Drosophila melanogaster: one gene and its partners. Changing the gene in region 4 together with the main gene of any one other region gives a genetic interaction. Each region holds a gene or a part of one and is shown on either strand. Other genes may lie near its edges. The genes, in order: nab, Ser, nej and rn.

Region 1 (7,629 bases), on a different chromosome or scaffold from region 4:
ACGATATTGCTCTCCTGAAGCTCCATGGTCAAGCGGAGCTTCGAGATGGAGTGTGCTTGGTGTGTCTTCCTGCACGAGGAGTCAGCCATGCGGCGGGCAAGCGATGCACGGTGACCGGATACGGATATATGGGTGAAGGTAGCGACTAGATCCTTATGATTACTTTGATAGCTTCTAACTTTTGGTCATCTTTTAAGCTGGTCCCATTCCCCTGCGAGTGCGTGAGGCGGAGATTCCCATTGTGAGCGATACGGAGTGCATACGGAAGGTGAACGCCGTGACGGAGAAGATCTTCATCCTGCCCGCCTCCAGTTTCTGTGCCGGCGGAGAGGAGGGACACGATGCCTGCCAGGGCGATGGAGGTGGTCCACTAGTTTGCCAAGATGATGGGTTCTACGAGCTGGCCGGCCTCGTCTCCTGGGGATTCGGCTGCGGGCGACAGGATGTGCCCGGCGTCTATGTGAAGACGTCCTCGTTCATCGGCTGGATCAACCAGATCATCAGCGTGAATAACTTATAGTGAGGAATCTCGCAAAGGACACACTGACACCATGTGCGGGAGGAACCCCGCTCTTGTGGCGATTTCCAGGACTGACGACTAGCCTGGTGTAGCCTACGATTGTTTCCAGGGGTTCCCGCTCTTCGACTGCTAACGTAACTCCATCCTAGTGTAATCTATTCATACCTAAACCTAACTCTAATGACTCCAAATCCAGAAAGCAACTATATTAACTATTATGATTATCGGTAGCGTAGACGGCAATCTTTAAAAGTATTCCCCTATTTGATAACGCCCTATGGTAAAATGTTTTTGTATATACAAAATAAATACAAAAAATCTTCAGTTATATAAACATTTGAGTATGGATTTGGTTGGGTAAAAAGGGTTTGGTTTAATTAATTTTTTAAATATATGATCATATTTTACAATAAGCTGTTTCTTCGTTTTCCACAAGAAACTGCTTACAAAATTTCAAATATATATTTTTCCTAAAGATATTTAAATATTTTCGAATTTTGGCGGCAAAGGAGAGCAGATTTTTCTTTTCTAGTACGAAAAAATGCAGTTGCATAATGATTCATTTGACATGGGAAAAGGGTTATGCAATCTTATACAACCTATTTTTTTTTTGCTGAAATTTGAATATTCCCAACAGATTTAACGGAATTCTTCACCAAAAAAACATTAAAAGGATCTTTTGGAAAGTCTCTCCGGCATTCCGAATCTTTGAGTGCTTCTCAAGAGGCGGAGCACAAAAACTCACTCAATGTCGCTCAATTGCGAAAAGAGAGAGAGAATGATTGTTCTCTAAGAGAATCTTGAGCATCGGCAGATAAAAAGTAACCCTCAAATCTGGAAACCAATGTCCTACGTTCCTAACCCTCCGAACAATTTGTTTGGTTTTGTTTTTATCCCTGATTTTAACCCTTTTTTTTTTTTTTGCCCCGGCTGATAGAAAACGAAAGCGCCCGGCACTCGGGTGGACTTCGGGTGGCTTCGTTGGCTTCGTTGTCGTCGGCCGGTTCCAAAAGGGTTCCTCAGATGTCCGTTCTGGGATTCGTGCACAGAAGTTCGTCTGGCCTCGAGCTGAGCGGATCGCAGAGATTAGAGAGACTGAAAGTGGCGCGAGTTTCGTTACTGCCGTTACAATCTTCTGTTTAACTCTCCCTAAAGAGTCTTATATACTTATCTAGTGTAGTTAATCGTAGCCTGTAGTACTCTTCCGATCCTCGATCCCTGATCCTAGATCCTAGTTTGCATGCATTTCGTCCTGGTTCTTTGTGTTTGTGCCTGGTATTTGATCGCCTTTCGTGCCAATCGCGTTAATTTAATCCGTCATCGTTTGCCAACGTGTTTTATCGCAATGGAGGCGAGCTCGAATCCCACAACACCCACGACGGCGGTGGCCACCACCACATCCACATCCAGTCCATCGCCAGCTGCCAGCACCAGCAGCAAAGGACACAGCCAATCCGCAACAGCATCTGCATCCGCCTCCGCCACACAGTCACAGCTGCTGACCACCAGTCTGGAAATGCCCAAGACGGAGGATCTGTACAATCTGTCCGTAGCCAGCGGACTATCCGAGGGACAGAGATCGCTCTCGGGCGCTCCGTCGGCCTCCTCCAGTCCCATTATGAGTCCGCAGGGCAAGATCTTTGGAAGGAATGCGAATGGAACAAGTAAGTAGTTTATTATTAACTGATGCTGTAATATGGTGAAAAGGATTTCCAAGGATATTACTGTGCTGTGTTACACTAGTGAACACAGTACAGTTGTGGATAGAAGTAAAAGGTTTTCTATGCTCTCACTTAAAAAATAAACTTTGGTAATCAAAGTACAATTGTAGAAAGGGAACTAATTGTTTTGAAACAAATTAAAAGTTTCTAATAGAAATTCTTTGTGAAGGATGCCTGTTTTCATAATTATAAACTATTTTCTGTCAGTTAATTTCTTTGCGTTCTAAAGGCTTTCAAAATGGTTTATGTTGATGGTAATTGAATATAGTTTTTGTCGTTAAAAATACCAAAAAAAATTTGCTGATACAGGTTCTAATTATCTCCGAAAGCCATGCACATCCTTTCGTCATTGGCTCATGCAGATGTCTTCATTTGTATAAATGTTATTGTGTCCAATCCTGATCCTTCGACCGCAACGAATCCTTTGACAAAGGAATCCTCATCCAGCCACATGCTGCAATTTTCGCGCTCTTTTCGCGAGCTTCCATTGTCTGGCGATGTTATGTAACGGAAAACCGAAGGAGCTTGTCCCTGTCCTTCAAGGACCTCCGTCTATTAACAAAGGAAGCTGAAAGTTACCTTTGCTGGGTAATAATTTAATTTCTTAAAAAATAGCGGACCCTGTTCCGGTTTTCATTTCCTCGGTGCTCGATTGCTTGGGGTGTCTTACTTTGCATATTTGCTCAAGGTCTAGGATTTCTTAAGGCAGCAATGGCAGACTTCATCCAATAGGATCCATGCCAGACCCAGGTAAGATGCCTTTTCCTAGGCAGCCGTTAGATGAACCTCATGATGATAGGTCGCGTCTTAGGGGTGATATGAAAAAACGTTGTAAGGAAACGGAAAAAACTCACCCCAAGCGATGAGGGTAGTAAAATATTTCAATAAATCTCAGTTGGCGGAAGGGGAGGCAACCAACGAGACGCGTTCTCGTTGGAAAAAATGCTCAAGCGCCGAAAGAAAAGATGTCGTCACACAGAGAAAAAAACATATATATATCCAGTTCTTAGTGATTCAATCAACTTATATTATCTAGTTGGTATCACTTAATATAACATAGCATTTCCAATGAGTATCCAGTGTATCTTTTATTTAGATTTATACAAGTACAATGGACATGGCGAAACAGGTCCTATTAAAACCCTCAAATTGGCAAGATTAAGATCGTAATGACCCCGAAAATAATGCACTTAATATTTTGGACAGACATTATTCTTTTCCTGTGCAGGTTATGGTTATGGTTCCTCTGCCGGGGCCATTGGCCATTGGCACGTACGGTCCACGTTATTGCCACCAATGGAATTTTGATCGACAAGAATTTGGTCGTTGAAAAAGTTGGCTTTTAATTTATCGTTGTATATGAGAAATAGTTTCGGTTACTTGCCCATTGCCGATGCCAAGCAGAAAGGGAGGATCGAATGGAGGAGGAGGAGGAGGATTCAGACCCTGGTCCCAGTCCCAAGTCCCAGGTTCCAGGTTCCAGGTTCCGATTCCAGGTCCAACTCTCCAAGTCAAAGTCTGCAAAGTCCGGCGTCTACTTTTTGCCCATAATCGAAGCGATCGCACGATTGACTGCTCCGCTCCACACGCACACACAGACCGCTCACACACACACACACATGCACTATAACGCATTTTCTAAATGCACTGTGAGAAAAGTGTGTCAAAATAATACAAATAATATAGGCATGAGCGAGGTACATACTTAACTTAATGCTCAGAGACGCCTTGTATGAAATATATATAATTATAATTTCCATTAGAAACAATTATCACATCTTATCAGAATCAACCACACTTTTTTTCTAAGTGCCTATCCTGCTGGCTGCTCGCGGTTTTCCGTTTTCTGCTCCTGGCTGCTTGGGCAGCTGCTTGGTATGTGGCGTCGAATGTCATTATTGCTGCCAAGTGCCAACTAAAAAGTTACTGCAGTTAATTTTTTGTCCATCTTCACCATTTGCCGTTCGCATAAAAACAGCATATTTAGCAAATGACAACAACAACAGCAGCCGCAGCATCGGCTCTTACGCAGTGGGTAAAAAAAATGAAAGCAAGCAAAAAAAAAAAAGAAAACCAAACCCGCAAATTAAATAAATAAAAAATCAGCAACAATCCGCAGAAGCAGAGGAGCTGGAGCAGCCACAACAAAGTGTCCCCAGTTCTCCGCCTTCCCAGCCTCCCGCTTCGCCATATCCCCCCCGTTCCCCCCACCATTCACATTATTTGTGTATTGAAATCACGTCTCATTTATTTATTGCTACCACCGGCTGCCCCTCTCCGTTTGCTCCACCAGACTCCCGACTTACGCAGGTCTGCGTTAAATACCCAAGTTAGGATCAGGGAGCGGGCGGTGGCAAGTGATGGAATAGACCAGAAGTGTGGCCACGCTCTTAACCCTTCAGCGGTCACTCTAGGTTTTTTTTTCAATTTCAAGATCAATTGAAAATCTTAAGAAAGCTTTCAGAAAAGCATTACTCATATGTATCTTTTCATTTTAAATATATTATATGTATATAGAGATATATAGATCATAAACTTTCACTAAAACTGGCCAAATGTGTCTATTATAACCCTCTCATTAACTAGTTTTAATAACCTTGTCACTTAGCTACTAGTTTGCTGGATTTAGCGTACATTTATAAGCACTTTCAAAGTCGACACTAATTTCAGTCCAGTTCAGCTCAGTTGATCACAGCTTTCAAGTGGACGCAACTGGTCTGATATTTTAGTTTCCAAACTATTTATGATATACCCAATTAAGCGGCTAAGAATGCGAATTATTCTTGCTGCCTGGCCATAAATCGCAACAACCCCATGGAGCGGAGCGTGGGTTAATGGCGCGAAGTGCGCATCCTTGGTGTTGCACGTCGGTGGATGCGCTTGTGGCTTCCAGTTGGCCAAGGCAACTGAATACAAACCACAAAAAAAAAAACAGAGCGAGTGGAATCGGAGGATGGCAATCGATGTAGGCAGCTTTTTCTGCCCTGAGTTTGTTATAATTTAGCCGACCAGCTCGTTTTTCTATTAATTAAAGCTGGCTGCAGACGTTGTCGCCGCCTGAAATATTCTCACATAATTATTTACGATTTGACATAATCATCATCCTCGTCATCGGCGTCGTCCATTTAGAGCTGTGCTGCCATAACAGTTACAGTCTCCTCGATCGGGGGATTCATTAGTATGAGCAATAAATCGCTGGCTAGTCAGGATGGTTTCCTATGAACTTGAGTGTAGGTACGACTTTATATGTATGTACATATATATTTCACACGATGCCATCCCATATACCCATGAAAATTTACCTATTTTGAGCCAAAAATTGAAAGTGATAAAAGCAAACAAAAAAAAAGAGAGAATAGGTTAGATTTAAATGATGATCCTGGCAATCCTTGCTGGCATCTTGCGCATGCGTGACGCATTTCTAACGAGTTTGCCGACTCAAAGCGGATCGTATCGCATCCTTGGTCTTTCAGAAGGGGTTGAACCACCATGCTTATGCAGATGAGTTGGTTCCCAGCTCTTGCCTCATCCTTTTTGTGTGCTTTCGAGTTTTTTTTTTTTGCTCTGCTCAGCCTCTACGAAAAAAGGGTTAGGGTCCAGACGTCCGTCGAGTTTTTTTTTTTTTTTGGGTAAGAAAAAGCGAATTTAATTAAAATTTTTTTCTTATAGGCGCGTAGCATTGTGAGAACGTCGCAGGCCAGAACTTAATAAATATCATTTTTTGCTGGAACTTCTTCAAGCCAGTTTCTTATGCATACGTTTGCTTGTATCTTCCAGTGATCACCACATCGCGACCGGGCAACGAGGCGGAGGTGCAGCTGTACCGGGTACTCCAGAGGGCCAGTCTGTTGGCCTACTACGACACCCTGCTGGAAATGGGCGGTGATGATGTGCAGCAGTTGTACGACGCCGGCGAGGAGGAGTTCCTCGAGATCATGGCCCTGGTCGGCATGGCTTCCAAGCCACTTCACGTCCGCCGGCTGCAGAAGGCGCTGCACGAGTGGGCCAACAATCCGGGTCTCTTCCAGGGACCCATGATGCCGCATCTGGGTAAGTTTAAGAAATATGATATAAGGAAAATGAGACTTTTACAATATTTAGTTGATTTGATGAATTTCCGCCTCTGTAAAACACTTTTGCTAATACCTTGTTACTTGCAGGTCTCTGCGAAACGCCACCGAAACCGGCATTGATCTTCAATCCGGACACCACGCCCGCTCTGCCCCGCCAGAAATTTCCCTCGTTCAATCCCTCGGGTTCCTCCTTTATGCCCTCGCCGGTTCCCCCAGCTCCACTGCCCGCTTCCGCCTCGGTTCCCGCTCCCACTGTCCCCTTGGCTACCCAGATCAGCTGTCCCTCAGCTCCTTCGGTGCCCTTGCCGCTGGTACTGCCCCCCAACCCGCTGACCAGCAGTCCGCATCCCTCGGCGAACAGTAACCTTCCGGCGAACACCGCCCACCAGGTCTCCTCCAGTTCGCCCCAGCTCACACCTGTTCTGACCGAAGCGCAGATCCAGCGGATAACCATGTGTGCTGATAAGATTGGCAGGCAACTGCCCCAGAGGGAACCGCGCGCCCAGACCACCAGGAAGCGAACCACCCGGGAACTGGAGCAGGTTATCGCCATGGGGGAACAGGATCCGCGGCGCATGGACGAGATCCGTAAGTACTCGGCCATCTACGGCCGTTTCGATTGCAAAAGGCGGCCGGAGAAGCCGCTGACCTTGCACGAGGTGTGCGTCAATGAGGCGGCGGCCCAGCTGTGTCGGAATCCCCAGACCATCTGGCTGCTGACCCGCCGGGATGAGCTGTTCCCCCTGGCACGGCAGATTGTCAAGGATGCCGGGTTCGGCCACTCGGCCAGCATTGCCCGGTACGGTGGTCTGCTCACCCAGCTGCCGTCGCAGGGAGCGGGATTGGGCGGAGGACGGGCTCCTGGCGACACGGACTGCGAGTCCAGTGACGCCGCCGTGCCCTCCAAGCGACAGCGACTCTCCTCTACGGAGGCTGCGCAGCTGCCGCTCGACTTGAATCGGGTAAGGAAGCTAGATACCGTAGAGCTATAGGTCCGGTGCCCGGTGCAGTGCTTCAGCTTCGCTTCAGAGTCCTCCGGACGGAGGTGCTCCCTGATAACCCAACAATTTGCCTTGCAGCTTTCGCGAACGCCAGAACACAATTACTAATCCTAGTCGAGAGGTTCTTCTCAGAATATCCCGACCTGTGGAGAGGGATCCAAGTTCACACTACAGTATTTTTGAACTAGACTTGATAAATCTTACTTCTAATCTTGTAGTTAAAAAACTGACTATAACCCATATAGTCTGTGTAGTCAATTTGGTCTTAAAGACCTTTGAAAATAACTAAATCACTAATGTATTTAATTCTTTAA
Region 2 (4,858 bases), about 20 Mb from region 4:
CTAAACCACCAGAAACCACTAACCGCAAACAGCCACCACAACGGCAGCAGGAGGAGTGAAAAATTAAAAAAGAAAAACGAGGAGGCGGAAAAAACACTTGAAAAATCTGTCATAAAATGTTGAGTGGTGTAAAACCAACTGGTTGAAATTGCCAACATATTTGCCTGTTTGTTTAATGAACTCGCCCAACGAGGGTTTTTTTGGTTTGAGGGGGTGAACCTTTGTCAAGAGGGTGGGTTTAACATTTTGATTACTCAATATGTTTGATTTTATGGATTTATGCCACCGCTCTGGTCCACTTTTGCAGCTGTTACATGTGACAGTAAAACCAAAAAACACAAAAACACTTGGCCGGAAAACGAAAGCTAATCCCAAAAAAGAAATGCCATCAAACCCGAACAAGTGTCCAACAAGCCGCCAACACAGAGTGCCCCCAAATTATGAGAGACGCGCACAAAGACACCTGTAAGTCGTTGTCTGCTATTAGTTGAAATCAAAACGAAAACAATGTAAGCCACAGTGAGCAAAAATAATATCTCTGGGGAGCACCAGCTCGAAGTCTCTGGAGGCTGATGGCTGAAGGCTGTAGTCTGCTGGCCACCAACGCAAAGCTGGTCGTCGCCTTTTAGCCAATTTTGATATAACTGAAAGCGTCAATTATACGTGAAATTTATGATGCCGTGTGAAGAATAACACCAACTTGCAACATATTTGGACAACGAAGCCGTTGCCATTGCCGCTGGCAGTTGCCTTTGCCGTTGCCGTCTCGGTGGCCCGTACAATTGCCGCTCTGGGGTCTCTTGTCGCAGATATGTAAGCTGATAATGGGCATTGTAGTGCAGTTTTTCTTCCATTTCTTCTGTTTTTTTTTTCTTCTTTTTTTTTAAGCGAGAAAAGATGACAAAGGAGCTGGGAGACCGCTGCCCAGTACGCCCACCAAATAGAGGAGGATGGAGACCCAAATGGCCAGGGAGACGGCTAGAGAAGACATTTTGGGCACACACCAAGTCAATTTGTTTTATCTATTGTCGAACAAGAGTCATGTCACAACGGCACAATGAGATTTACTATGTGTTGTTGCAGTTGTTGAGGCAGCAGCAGTTGTTGCTGCTGCTGTTGTTGCTGTGGTGGGCAGACAATGGAAAATCAGCAACATGATTCGATATTTAGATATGCGCCTCAAGAAATATGAGCCGCTAACAACAACAGTAAGGTAGGCAGCAGCAACAACAAAGATGCTGCCGCCTGTCTTGTTGGCCGCATGTAATTGCCAAGTTTGTTGCTTAAGTCTTTTGTTTTGGCTGCACTGATAGGCCAGTTGCATTTAAATTTGATTTATACACTTTTGGCCAGCAGATAATTGGATGGAAGTCGCCGCTCTGTCTGTGTGGTTAATAATTGGCCGATGCTAGTATCTTTCGATTTGGTTCCCAGCCGTTAAAGATTGTGGGAGCGTTCCTTCATATTAGGTGTTAATTGCCAGTCCCTTGGAGCTACTAGATCTGGAGCACACACACACATACACACACAGCCCCAGAATGCACTTATTGGCATAATTAAGTTGGAATCGTAAAAAACGGCAGCCGAGAGCCTCGGGCGCGCATGCGTGCAGCAGCCGAAGCGGCAGCAACTCCATTAACTGCCGATTCTGATTCAGATTCCGGGCCCCGGGGCTATATACAGTCGTACGACCAATCAGCGGCTGGCTAAAGAGCACTGCACGAAGAGCAAACTGGTTTTCTTCAAAGAGAAGCACAGAGAGAATCGCTGCGAGTTAAGCTCTCGGGATCGACGGCAACTTGTGCCCAGAGGCAATCAGTCGTTAGTCGAAGCCTGAAGCGCACGCAGCACTCAGCGGAAGTCGTCGCCAGTTTATTTTGAAAGCGGTTTCGGTGGTTCAGACCGAGCCACAGTTCTCTTAAGACTGCAGATCACCACCACCACCACCACCACCAGCAGCAGCAGCGACAGCTCACCTCACCACCTTTACCACCACCAAAACCGCAGCTCTCTCGCGTGACTTGCTCCGCCCCGTGAATGGATGCTGCTCGAGGGCTGGAAATGCCGCAGGATTCGGTTAACGCGTTTAGTCGAGCGCCGTGCTTCGAGCGGTGATGAGCCCCTTTTCTGTCAACGGTAAAACCCCTCCTCGAATTGGATTATTGTGCACCCAAACTGAACGCCACCGACCATCATCCATATAACAATTGTGAAAGTGTTTAATGTGCCGCAATCGAATTAAATTGCTTGCTGATTACAACAAATGATGAAGAGCAATCAACTACAAATGCTCGGTGGAAGAAAAGCAAATCGAAAGATCGACAATCAGCCGACATTTTGCTATGTGTGTGTTTCCATAGTGTGTGATTAATTTCTGAGCCCAGATCGTGTGAGCTAAGGAAAACGGAAATACCTTTCAATTAAATACAATACATTAATATATCAAAATACAATGCCGTCAAAATTGTGTTTAATCAAAGGCGAAAAGTAAAAGTGCAAACAATGTGAATATGCGAAAACGAGTGCCCCATTCCGGGGGAATCGCTGGCCACAGTGTGCTCCATTGATAACGCACACAGGGACGCAAAACAGGGACACAAACACACGAAGCTACAACTACGAAGTGGAATTGAAACATGCCAAGTGAAAGGGAGAAAGAATGAAAACATCCGACTAGTTCATAATGCACGCAGATAATACAAATAATAATAATAATGGGCGCACATAGAGAAATTTCCACTAGAACTTAATAAGTGGGATTCCCAAACAACCTATTGAAAGTATTTGACTTTCTAAAAGCGATGCTTAACACGGATTTTTTTTTCTAAATTTAAAGAATTTTGAATTGAATAACAAATGTTTTATTAGAAAGTTAAAGAACTTTCCGTATAGATGAAGTAGTGTAGTTTTCTTCTGTGCACCGGGAGAAAAGAGAGATTGTGAAATCAGTTTGGTTCTGAATGGGTGGTACGAGCATGGGAAAGCCCCTGATCAAGAGAGCGCGGAAAATGCTCGATGCACTGCTCAATGATTTACCATATGCAACGAATAACGGATCTAGCACGGTCCAAAGCTTATTCAGATCGTTAAGTTCAAGACGGTGATCTGGTTGCACAATTATTTGATAAATCAGAGTATATCCAGAAGTTACTAGAAATAGAAATGGATACACGGTATACTAAAGTTTTGAGGCCGCTAGAAGTTCATTCATCGTTTTGCAAATTGCCAAGAGAGAAGAGTGAAAGTAGCGGTATTAGGGGGTATTAAGGGGGAGGTAGCTGCATCATCCACTTGCAAAAGCCACTTCCGGTCATGCCCTGCAGCAGCAGCAACATCCACATCAGCGGCAGCAGCAGCAGCAGCATGAGCAAGAGCGGCAGCATCTGGGTTTCGATTCAAAGTCAACGACTTCCGTTCCGTGCCAAAGCCGGGAGGAGGCCCCAAGCAAATTACTTAATTAAATGGACAATTAACACCCGAGCAGGAGGAACCGGGGCGGGCTGGGGGGCTAAAGGCCATGGGAGGATAGGATGGCCGGAATGGCAAAAGCAGCGGCAGGGTGGGAAGAATGAGTAATGTGAGCAAGAGTGAAAATATCTGTAAATTAATATGCGCACAAGATGCAAATTGTTTGTGGCCAAAGACACGGCTCCATAGTCGCAGCAGCAGCAACTGCAGAAGCAGCCACATCAGCAGCGGCAGTAACAGCGTTAAATTAACATAAATTGAATTGCATTTGCATTTGCTGCACGTTGCCGCTTTTTGCGGTCTGGCAAAAGTAAATGTTGCTGCGGTGGCTGGTGGCACTTGTTGCGGCTTGCTGCGGTTGCCGCTACTGCAACTGCAACTGCAGCAGCAGCAGCATCATCTGCGTGTCAATTAGCGTTGATGATGCACAGTGAAATAGATTTTGCGCAGCCCGTTTCAATTCCAATTCGTTCGACAATTGTTACAGCTAAAGATCTACAAAACATCAGCGCCTATCAAGTGGAAGTGTCAAGTGTGAACAAAACAAAAACGAGAGAAGCACATACTAAGGTCCATATAAATAATAAATAATAATTGTGTGTGATAACAACATTATCCAAACAAAACCAAACAAAACGAAGGCAAAGTGGAGAAAATGATACAGCATCCAGAGTACGGCCAGTTATTCAGCTATCCAGAGCAAGTGTAGTGTGGCAAAATAGAAACAAACAAAGGCACCAAAATCTGCATACATGGGCTAATTAAGGCTGCCCAGCGAATTTACATTTGTGTGGTGCCAATCCAGAGTGAATCCGAAACAAACTCCATCTAGATCGCCAACCAGCATCACGCTCGCAAACGCCCCCAGAATGTACAAAATGTTTAGGAAACATTTTCGGCGAAAACCAGCTACGTCGTCGTCGTTGGAGTCAACAATAGAATCAGCAGACAGCCTGGGAATGTCCAAGAAGACGGCGACAAAAAGGCAGCGTCCGAGGCATCGGGTACCCAAAATCGCGACCCTGCCATCGACGATCCGCGATTGTCGATCATTAAAGTCTGCCTGCAACTTAATTGCTTTAATTTTAATACTGTTAGTCCATAAGGTAAGCAAACCAACCAACATGCAAAAAACGATCGAATCCCCAAAGCAATAATCGCAAAAAGCCCCAGATCCAAATACATGCGGGTGTAGTGTCTCGTCAAAAAGGCCAAAAGAAAACAGACAAAGTTGATTCAACCCATGCGAATTGGCAATGGCTGAGGGCAAAGTTTTGATGGGGGACGTAAATAATGATGATTTTTGGGTTTATTTTTTTGAGTGATTTATCAACTCCGCATCCCGAAGAGCTGTCTTTAATGAGAGCTCTTACGCTGGAATTTTCTCAAA
Region 3 (4,661 bases), on a different chromosome or scaffold from region 4:
AACGCAGACGAAAAACGTTCGAAAAATCTGAGTAGTATTGTTTCTATTAGTTTATAAAGTTTTTCTGATTTTTCGCTTTTTTTTTTCACTAACTCTCCAATGATCCGTCTATGTTGGAGTTCGAGTGTGTTCTGATATTTTCGTTATTGGAACTTGTCAAATCTTCTTTCAGAAATTATTTGTCGCCTAGCACTTTGACAATTGTTGCACAGGTTGTTTGTTTGGTTAAGTGTTTAGTGTTTTAAGTTGTAGATTTCTTGATTAGTTTGGACACTTTGCAACACACGCACGCACAATACACAACACACAAAGAGGCACTCAAAAGGCGTGGCTGGCGAGGATTGGGATTTGGTTTTGGTATTGGTGTTTTGGGATCTTGTAATCGATGATGTTGGCGATGCTTGCACTTAATGATGATATTAACGCTGCTGCTCCGCTTTTTATTGCTAAGGATGTGGCTTCTGTTGTTGTTCTTGTTGCAGTTGTTGTTGTTGATTTAGATAATTCCTTTGCTAATTGCCGCTGCAACGACAGCAACAACGTAGCCGGCGCTATCGTCACCGCAACGTCAACGGATGGAGCTGACCACCACCACGTCGTCGGACCTGTGCCCGCTGATCCTTCTGCTCCCACACCCACTTCCACTCCTTCGCCTTTTCCCTCTCCTTCTGCCGCTTCCGCTGATCCTGGAGGATCGCGCAGCCACCACCGCCTTCTCGTTGCGGCGCCGTTGAGATCGTTGTCGCCGCCACTGGCGCTTTGGCCAGCAGACAACTTTTCCACCGCCTGGTGCTCCTCCTGCTCCTGCTCCTCTTGATGCTTGTTCTTATCCTGCGTCCGCTTGACCAGTACCTCTTCTTCTTCTTCGACTTCGGCCCTGCGCTTTTTTAGCTGCAATTTGTTTTTGCTGCTGCTGCTGATGCTGCTGTCGTTGTTGTTGTGGTTACTGCTGCTGCTGCTGCTGCCGTCGTTGTTCTCGTTGTTGCAATTGTTGTTTGTCGAACAGCAGCAGACACACGCGTGCATTTTGTGTTGTTGGGCCCCAAAAACACCAAAAGTTGACCTTGGCTGGGCGGCTCTTGTTATTGTTTGTTTGTTTGTTTGTCTGTTGTTGCCTGCCTGCCTCCACTGAGCGAAAAAGAACGGTTCTTGGTTTGGCTCTCTCCTCTTTCTCTTCCTTTTCTTTCCGCCTTTTTCTCCGCTATCTTACATATTTTATGTGATTTGTTTTTGGCGGCTTTTTGTTACACAGGAATATATATATATATATATAGATATTTTGACCATATATTATATATGCTTGTGTTTAATTTTGATTGCACTTGATTCGGTTATCGTTTACAATTAATAAGGAAAAAAAAGCAATTCACATTGTTGGCTGTTGTTGGGTTTGTTGTGTTTCGGTTTGTTTTTGTTGCTGGCGCGCTGCTGTTGTTTTTGTCGATGCTGATGTTGTTGCTGCTGCTGCTGCTGCCGACGTTTGCCGCTCTAGCATTACACATTAACTGCAAACGCACAAGAAGAATAATACACAGCCTATTAGATTATGTTGAATGGACGAACACAAATCGAAAGCAATATTTATTTATTTTCTTCTTTCTTTTTTGTAATTTAGCCGCGCGCGAGTGGACAGCGAAACCGAGGGGAAAATGGAAACAAAACGAAACTAAAATGCGACGAGACGTGCCGAAGACGGGGCGAAAAGGGAAGAACAACGAGAACAGTACCGAGAATTCTCTCGGTCTCGTTGCACTCATCTGTGTGCCGCTTGACGACCACTCACTCTCTCTCTCTCTCTTGTCTGTTCTTGCCTCGCAATTTTATTCGCCAATACTACCAGCGCTGTACTCGTTATTTTACTCGCAGACGTGTGTGTTGGCCTCTCGCTCTTTTGGCGCACACCACGAAAATGAAAATAATAATTTCATTTTGCCGCCAGTCCCCTAAAAAATATGGAAAACAAGTGCCGTCGTTGGCAAAAATATACTTTGAAACATGCTTAACATTTTTATGACAAATACATTTTTGGAAAAAAAATTTCACACCTTTACAGGTAATAAAAGTCAGAGCACTGCTTAAAAAAATTAATTGAAGTATCAGCCAGTTGCGGCTGTAGTCTATAGTCTAGTTTATAAATTAAATGGCCGAAAAAGTGGCCGTATTTTGGTTTTGCTTCCGCATTCGAGCGGCCATCATATGAAATTCAATTTGTTGGGGCGGCGAGTGGCGAGTGGGGTGCGAGCGGGATGACACTAGAGTGCAGTGGGGCTGGCTGACAAAAGCTTTCACACACTCACGCACGCACACATTTGGGGTTTGGGGCGCGCGTACAGAATTCTCACAGCGACGCCAACGCCGTTTTCACCACACAGTTACACACACGCACACTTCGAAAACAGCGAGTTCGTGCAAGAGCGAGCACGAGTCCGAGAGAGAAAGCATGCGATGGTATTAGTGCCAAGCGGCATTAGTGTGCAATATACACACGACGGTAAACGGCAACGAGTGCGAGGAGCATTGGAAAAAGAAAGAAAAACAGACGACAGAAATATATTCCATTTTTTTTCTGTGTTCGTTCGTCGTTTTCGTTTCGTTTTCTTCTTCACGTCGTTTCAAAGTTTCTATTGCAGAAATTTTTTGTGTTGTCTCCGCCAGAGCGTTTTTCATTTTTCCCGGCCCACACAAAAATCGCAAAAATATTTGGCGAAAATACGAAATTCAAGAAAATGCCGTAGAAAATTTGAAAAAAATTTCAGCCCGATTTTGGCCGGTATTTTTATTTTTCCACCGTCACCGATTGCCACGCACTAAATTTCTAACTATACTTTGCAATTTTGCCGAATTTCGGTTTTATACCATATATTTTTCACATTTTCCGGCGATTTTATAAAAATCCCACAAACTTTTTCGCAACACTAAAACAAAAAAATTTCAGTCCGCTTGTGTTAATCGTTCTCCGAGCCAAAAATGTTTTTGCTTCAGTGTGACCGCGGCTAGCCGTTCAAATACACCACCGAGCTCGGAAATACACTAAAATTGACTGTTTAACACAACACGCGAGTGGGCTCTCGTCGCTCTCGCGTGCTGTTTGGCCGCTGTTGTCGTACTGTTACGACCCGAAATCCATATAAATGCCTTTGCTAGCAGTCTGTTGGCCCCGTAACAGCTGTTAACCGCTGTCGGAACACTGTTTTGCTCTAGTCCCTCGCTCTCTGCGTCGGCGAGACCGCTCACGCCATGCGCTCCCAAAGAGCCGATACGCACACACGCGCACACATATGGCGCGCCAGATAACGAAGCAGCGAGTCCAGAGATGACCACATGATGACGGTGACACATTCGCCGATACTTTTATGCGGTCACTTGAAAATGTGCACAAAGAAGTTTTGTAAGAAACATCATTGGTTGGAGACCAACATCATTATGAAATGAATATTCTTTGCAGCGTTTTTGAGATCAAATAGGTATTCCAAAAAGATGTTTAATATGAATTAATAAATCAACATCTTGAATGAGTGCAGTTGTTTAGAATTTTTTGTTTAAAAAAGTATTTGTAGACATTAATTTTGAAAACGTTTGTCCATCGTAAAAATCTAGTTTAAAGTTCTTCAAAGGAAAAACGATATTTACAGAGGATCACGTAAGTAATCGAGTCATTGGATTTGCGCATCTCTGGTGGGTTCAGTGTTAGCGTGTTTTCCGTTCGCTCTTGCCGTGAGAGACAAAGAGAACGTGTGAGAGAGAGGCAAGCCGAAAAATCAGCCGCCGAAGGATACACTATCGTCGTCCTTGTCCGACGAACCGGTGGTCATGCAAACAACGCACAGAACAAATTAATTTTCAAATTGTTCAATAAATGTCCCACTTGCTTCTGTTGTTCCCCCCTTTCCGCTAGCGGAATTTTTTATATTCTTTTGGGGGCGCTCTTTCGTTGACTTTTCGAGCACTTTTTCGATTTTCGCGCGCTGTCGAACGGCAGCGTATTTATTTACAATTTTTTTTGTTAGCGGCCGCCGTTGTTTGTTGCAGATACACAGCGCACACATATAAGCTTGCACACTGATGCACACACACCGACACGTTGTCACCGAAATGAACGGGACGGCCATATGACTGGCTGGCGCTCGGTATGTGGGTGCAAGCGAGATACCGCGATCAAGACTCGAACGAGACGGGTCAGCGAGTGATACCGATTCTCTCTCTTTTGCGATTGGGAATAATGCCCGACTTTTTACACTACATGCGTTGGATCTGGTTATTTAATTATGCCATTTTTCTCAGTATATCGGCAATTGGTTGCATTAATTTTGCCGCAAAGTAAGGAACACAAACCGATAGTTAAGATCCAACGTCCCTGCTGCGCCTCGCGTGCACAATTTGCGCCAATTTCCCCCCTTTTCCAGTTTTTTTCAACCCAGCACCGCTCGTCTCTTCCTCTTCTTAACGTTAGCATTCGTACGAGGAACAGTGCTGTCATTGTGGCCGCTGTGTAGCTAAAAAGCGTAATTATTCATTATCTAGCTATCTTTTCGGATATTATTGTCATTTGCCTTTAATCTTGTGTATTTATATGGATGAAACGTGCTATAATAACAATGCAGAATGAAGAACTGAAGAGTTTCAAAACCTAAAAATAATTGGAATATAAAGTTTGGTTTTAC
Region 4 (4,744 bases):
CGAACGGGAAACTGCTGGACATTAGGTTCCCAGTCGGTCGGAAAAACCACGATGGCTAAACGCAGCCATTTCCCAGTGATTTGAGTGAGGAAAGGCCAGCTACATCGTTGCCGTTGGGATCAAACATAGCTGCAATACTGCTCTACTGGTGCAGTACTGCAATTCTCAGTCCCCAGGTGGATGTGCCAATTGCATTGATTAACTAAATAAACGCGCAGCACTTGCATTTTAATTTCATTTATTTTGACCTTTTTCCCCGAGGAATGGCAGTTGCAGTTGTCACAGCCGAAATGCGCTGCCATTTTCCCACCCGCTGGCGACACATGTCCGTACCCATAAAAAATGCCTTGTCAGGAGTAAAAAAAAAAAAAAAACTTAAGAAAAATTAACAAAAAATATAAAACGGCAAGCACAAGCAAAAAGATGCCAGTCAAGGGGCGAGCAGTGAAAAAAGAAATAAACCAAGTGCTCCAATAAAAATTCCACCGCCTTCACCCTCGTGTCGACCTGCTCTCACACTCACACCCTCTCTTTCACGCTCGCACTCTCTCTTTTTTGCCCGCTTTTATGGTTTTTTTTTTGTTTTAAGAGCGCATCGCCGCTTTTGCCCTGCTTGCTCTTGAGCTTGGCCAACGCTGCGTATGAGTGGAATTTTTTCAGTGCCGCCGAATCATCGCTTCGCTTGAAATGAATATGTGTGATTATTAGCCGCAAAAAAGCGTGTTTCGTTTTTGCCACTGACTTTGGTAGTTTTTGCGGATTTTTAATTTGAATATTACATGTATTAAAAACTCATTACTACGCGTGGTTCGCCATCGAAGTTGGTCAATGGGCTAATGGTCTGCGGATGTGATTTTTTGTCATTTCAGCGTTTGTCTCTTGCGCAAAATTATGCATTTGGGATCGGAACGAATGTATGCTCCTATCTTCATTTTGGGTGTGGAATTTGCATTATAAAAATTTAAAAAAGGAAAATTTTAAACGTAAATAAATCAAGTTTCATTTGTACATGGTGGCAGAGGAGAGACGTAGAAATTGCAGACTAAGTAACTACATTTTTTACAAGACAATAAATAAAATAATAAAACGTTATTAAGCAATTAAATGGAAACCACTTTCCTGATAACACTTTTGATTAACCCGTCTTCGGTGGCGGACTTGAACCTTCATTGCTCGTCACCTAAACGCCCCCGTGTTTTACCATAAAGATTGAGCTATAAAAACGGAGTGCCGCATTAACCGTTCGCCGCGCAACGAGCAGCGTGCAACGTGCAGCATGCAACTCGCAATATGCTCATTCATGCTCAAAGTCAAGAGAAAAGAAAAGCCACTCAGGCAAAAAGCCCGAAATCAAATCAAAGTTGCTCAAGAGACCCGGTAGCAAAAAGCGAGCTGCAGGAAAAACCACAAACAATTTTTTCCATCGCCCCGAAGAGAGAGGGAGAGAGGCCGCGTGAGAGAGGGAGAGAGCGAGCGAACCACTTTTTGCCACTGCTTTTGGAGCAAAAGGAGTAAAAAGCTGTTGCGCAGGCGTCGCCGTCTGCCCCAAAGCCGTGCCAGCCACGAGTGCGAGAGAGAGACCGGGCGAGTGGAGCGACAGAGAGGGCAGCTATGCTGCGATTTGGCGGCGAGTGCGAGGCATTTGAATGTTTTTTTCGTGGCCGCACTCAGCATTCGAGTTCGGAATTCTTGCGAGCTGGCAGCTACTTTTTGCGCTGCTCGCTGCTGCCGCTTCTGCTGAGCCAAAGCCATAGGCAAAGTCCAAGCCAGGCTAAGCCAAACTAAACCTGGCCCAAACGGCCGGCCACTCGGCCACTGTCCACCAGTTGGCCACTTTCGCGCGCGTTCCAGCCAAGTGCACTCCTCAGTCTGCACTCTCCGTTCTGCAGTCCGCAGTCTGCAGTCTTTTTTGCCCGCGTCTCCCAATCCGCGAAGAATTCTGTCGCAAAGTGCAATGCATTTTCGCCATTCCGCAAGTGCAGCTGCTCCCCCAGCTCGCGGTATCATAATTAAAAATCGAGCCGAGTGAACTCGCAAATTGTTATCACCACACGTCGTCGTCGTCTGAGTCGGTAAAAAACAAGCCAGGCCCTCGAAAGGGTCGAAATTGGTCAAGTGTCAATGCGATCGAGGCCGTAATAAACGTGTTTCAGTGCTCCCCTGAATAGTTATTGTGATCCGCTGATCAGCTGAGTGAATGCAAGTGAACGAATATATTGAGGAGTATCCACTTACTACACGCGATAATTGCGAGAATTTCCACGAGCCACTCTGAGGAGTAGATATCGAATGGGGTTAGAAAGTAATGAAGTCATTCTATAAGTCCCAGCAGCAGCAGCAAGAAAAGACTAGCCTAATAAAATATTTATTTTAGGCCATTTTGCGGAATTAAGTTTTAAGATACTTGTTAACAATAATTTGATAAACTAGTTACAAAATTATACAAACACAAGTTAAACTGTTCCAAAAAGTATATATATTAAATATATTTAAAGCTTCCGCCTAAATCGATAATATATTATATATTTCCATATGTCCCTATAGTAAAATTATAGTTCGGTGATGATTAATAACAAAATTTACTTCAAATGGAAATATACCGTTTTTATTTTGTAAACTGAAACCATAAATTTTTCGTTTATTATGTAAACATTCCATAATTAAAAATTTTTTAAAATTATTTATGAAATCAAATCGGTTGCAACTCATTGCTCACATCACGATTCTGCTTAAATATTATTTACCTAGGTAATCCCAGCTTTCTTTTCTATTGGGTTCAGTACACTCCCGATTCAGGGATAGACGAAAGTAGTTGCTTTCTAACCACATGACTCTTTCCCTACTATTCGCATCTAGCTCGATTTCCCAAAAAGTGAACAAAACAACAAAACTAAACTAAATAGCGCGTTATTTAATTGAAACGTAAAATAGATATTCCGAGCGAACCCCCAAGTGGAACTAATTAGAATAACGCCCTGAACAACCGCCAATCGAAGGTGCTTAAATGATTATGCATGGTACCTGGTACAAGGGACCTCAGTTGGCGCACCATCCTCACTCGAATCCGCATAACAGTTCGCACGGCCACAGTGACTACCACCAGTTCCGCTCGTACCCCTCGTTCGTTGTAACGCCCTACCACGATGGCCATGTCCAGGGCCCGGCCACGCCCACTCCATGCACGGCCCCGCCAACGCCCTGCAACGGTCCAGTTCCAGTTTCAGTTCCAGTTTCGATTCCCGTCTGCCACACCGGCGGCCAAGGTTCGCCAGTAATTGTCGAGAGCTCATTTGCAATCGCCGCCGCCGCCGCTGCAGCGGCTGCTGCCGTCGCCGTCGGAGGATCCAGTGCCACGCCCCTGCTGCCCAGTCCGCCCATCAAGATCGAGCAGGTCTTTGGCGAGCCCTCTTCGCTTGGAGCCGTCGTTGAGGATTACGCGCTGGGACTAGATTGCCCCGTGGAACACACGTTTCGAGTAAGCGCACTAAAAAGTTTACAATATTATGAAAATATATTATATGAATACGACCTGGTATTATTTTATTTAATAAACACTATTAAGTACTTTAATTTGAATGCAACGGAAACTTTTATCTAGCTGATAAAATAAAACATTTACGTTGTTTTTATTGTATAGGCATTAATGATACTGATACAACCGTTTCTTTAATTATCATTTGTTAGTATGAGAGCTTGTATTCTTGGGCAAACGTTAAATCTGCTTGCCAAATTAGGAAATCTTCTAGCTTTTGAGATCTCAGACCGTTTACATAATCGAAAACACAGATAGATAATAATGATCCTAATGATACATCTTCGATTGAATAATAAATCGTTTTTTTAAGTAGAAGTAAGCTCTAATTCTACTGAAGAAGTGCAAAATTTGTGTAAGGTCATTACTCCTGAACATGGATAAATTTACCTACCCAAAACTAACTTCTTTGAATTTAGTGACATGAATATCGAATAATAATTTTTTTTAAGTTTTACTCATTTTGTATCCACTTTTAAGATATTGGTAGCCATTTGATAAATGTTTTCTTTTATTAAATAAATGAACACTTTAGGCGTTATTTAATAAAAAAAAAATAGTTAAAAGAAATCAAAGCTCATATTTTTAATCCTCACCGTTGGTTGCCATGCTTTAGCCATCCGACTGCCGTTTCCTAGCCAATTTTATAGCAGTGTATGGATAATGTTATTATGTCAAATTACTGGTTAGCATCCCCATTGGAGCAGCTGCTGCACTTGTTTGGCTCGACTCTCACCACCGAAAGTGGGCGTGCTCCAAATCAATTTCCATAAAATCATCCAATAACACTTAAAAGCCAGGCAGGGCAAAAAGCCGACAAACACAAGTGGCAGGCGAGTAAAAAACAGGAAAACAAACACGCCCCCAACTCGAAGAGCGTCAGTGAAAGAGCTCTCTCTTTCTCTCTTCGGGGAAAGCAAGAGCACCGCAAAACGGAGAGATCTCTTGTTTCGAGTGGGTTTTAATGGTAAAACGCTCAAGCTTTTGCGTCGCTTTTTCAGACGGTCCAAAGGACACTTTTTGTCGGCTTGGTTCGTGCACAGGATATCCCATAATTGCCTGGCTTACAAAGCTTTTCGCAGTCTAATGCAGATTGACTGATGGCTTCAAGTGGATGAAAGGAAATTAATGCAAATCAACAGGTGGTCCTGTGAAGTTTAAGGACATATGTCAGCCTGTGGAATAAAATATGTAATTCGAGGAATTCAAAAT

Evidence for each region.
Region 1: of rn (region 4) and nab, changing one suppresses a phenotype caused by changing the other (phenotypic suppression), as found in Drosophila melanogaster (one study listed by BioGRID).
Region 2: of rn (region 4) and Ser, changing one enhances a phenotype caused by changing the other (phenotypic enhancement), as found in Drosophila melanogaster (one study listed by BioGRID).
Region 3: of rn (region 4) and nej, changing one suppresses a phenotype caused by changing the other (phenotypic suppression), as found in Drosophila melanogaster (one study listed by BioGRID).

Annotation. Positions count from the first base shown.
Region 1 is NT_037436.4:4,154,886-4,162,514, reverse strand, and holds the start of nab (nab), read left to right. Parts: upstream 1-1,582; 5' UTR 1,583-1,865; coding exon 1,866-2,184; intron 2,185-6,018; coding exon 6,019-6,291; intron 6,292-6,401; coding exon 6,402-7,276; intron 7,277-7,629. Other genes in the region: mas (masquerade), read left to right, coding at 1-138, 198-520. UniProt on the Drosophila melanogaster protein: Transcriptional regulator that can both act as a coactivator or a corepressor depending on the context. Lacks DNA-binding domains and acts by associating with other transcription factors such as rotund (rn) and squeeze (sqz).
Region 2 is NT_033777.3:27,191,222-27,196,079, reverse strand, and holds the start of Ser (serrate), read left to right. Parts: upstream 1-1,812; 5' UTR 1,813-2,136; intron 2,137-3,955; 5' UTR 3,956-4,337; coding exon 4,338-4,574; intron 4,575-4,858.
Region 3 is NC_004354.4:9,682,647-9,687,307, forward strand, and holds the start of nej (nejire), read right to left. Parts: upstream 3,022-4,661; 5' UTR 2,904-3,021; exon of another isoform or gene 2,857-2,903; intron 1,506-2,856; 5' UTR 1-1,505.
Region 4 is NT_033777.3:7,306,588-7,311,331, reverse strand, and holds the start of rn (rotund), read left to right. Parts: upstream 1-1,702; 5' UTR 1,703-2,302; intron 2,303-2,856; 5' UTR 2,857-3,004; coding exon 3,005-3,475; intron 3,476-4,744. UniProt on the Drosophila melanogaster protein: Transcription factor involved in imaginal disks development. Isoform rn is required in the wings, antenna, haltere, proboscis and legs disks, while isoform roe is required in the eye disk.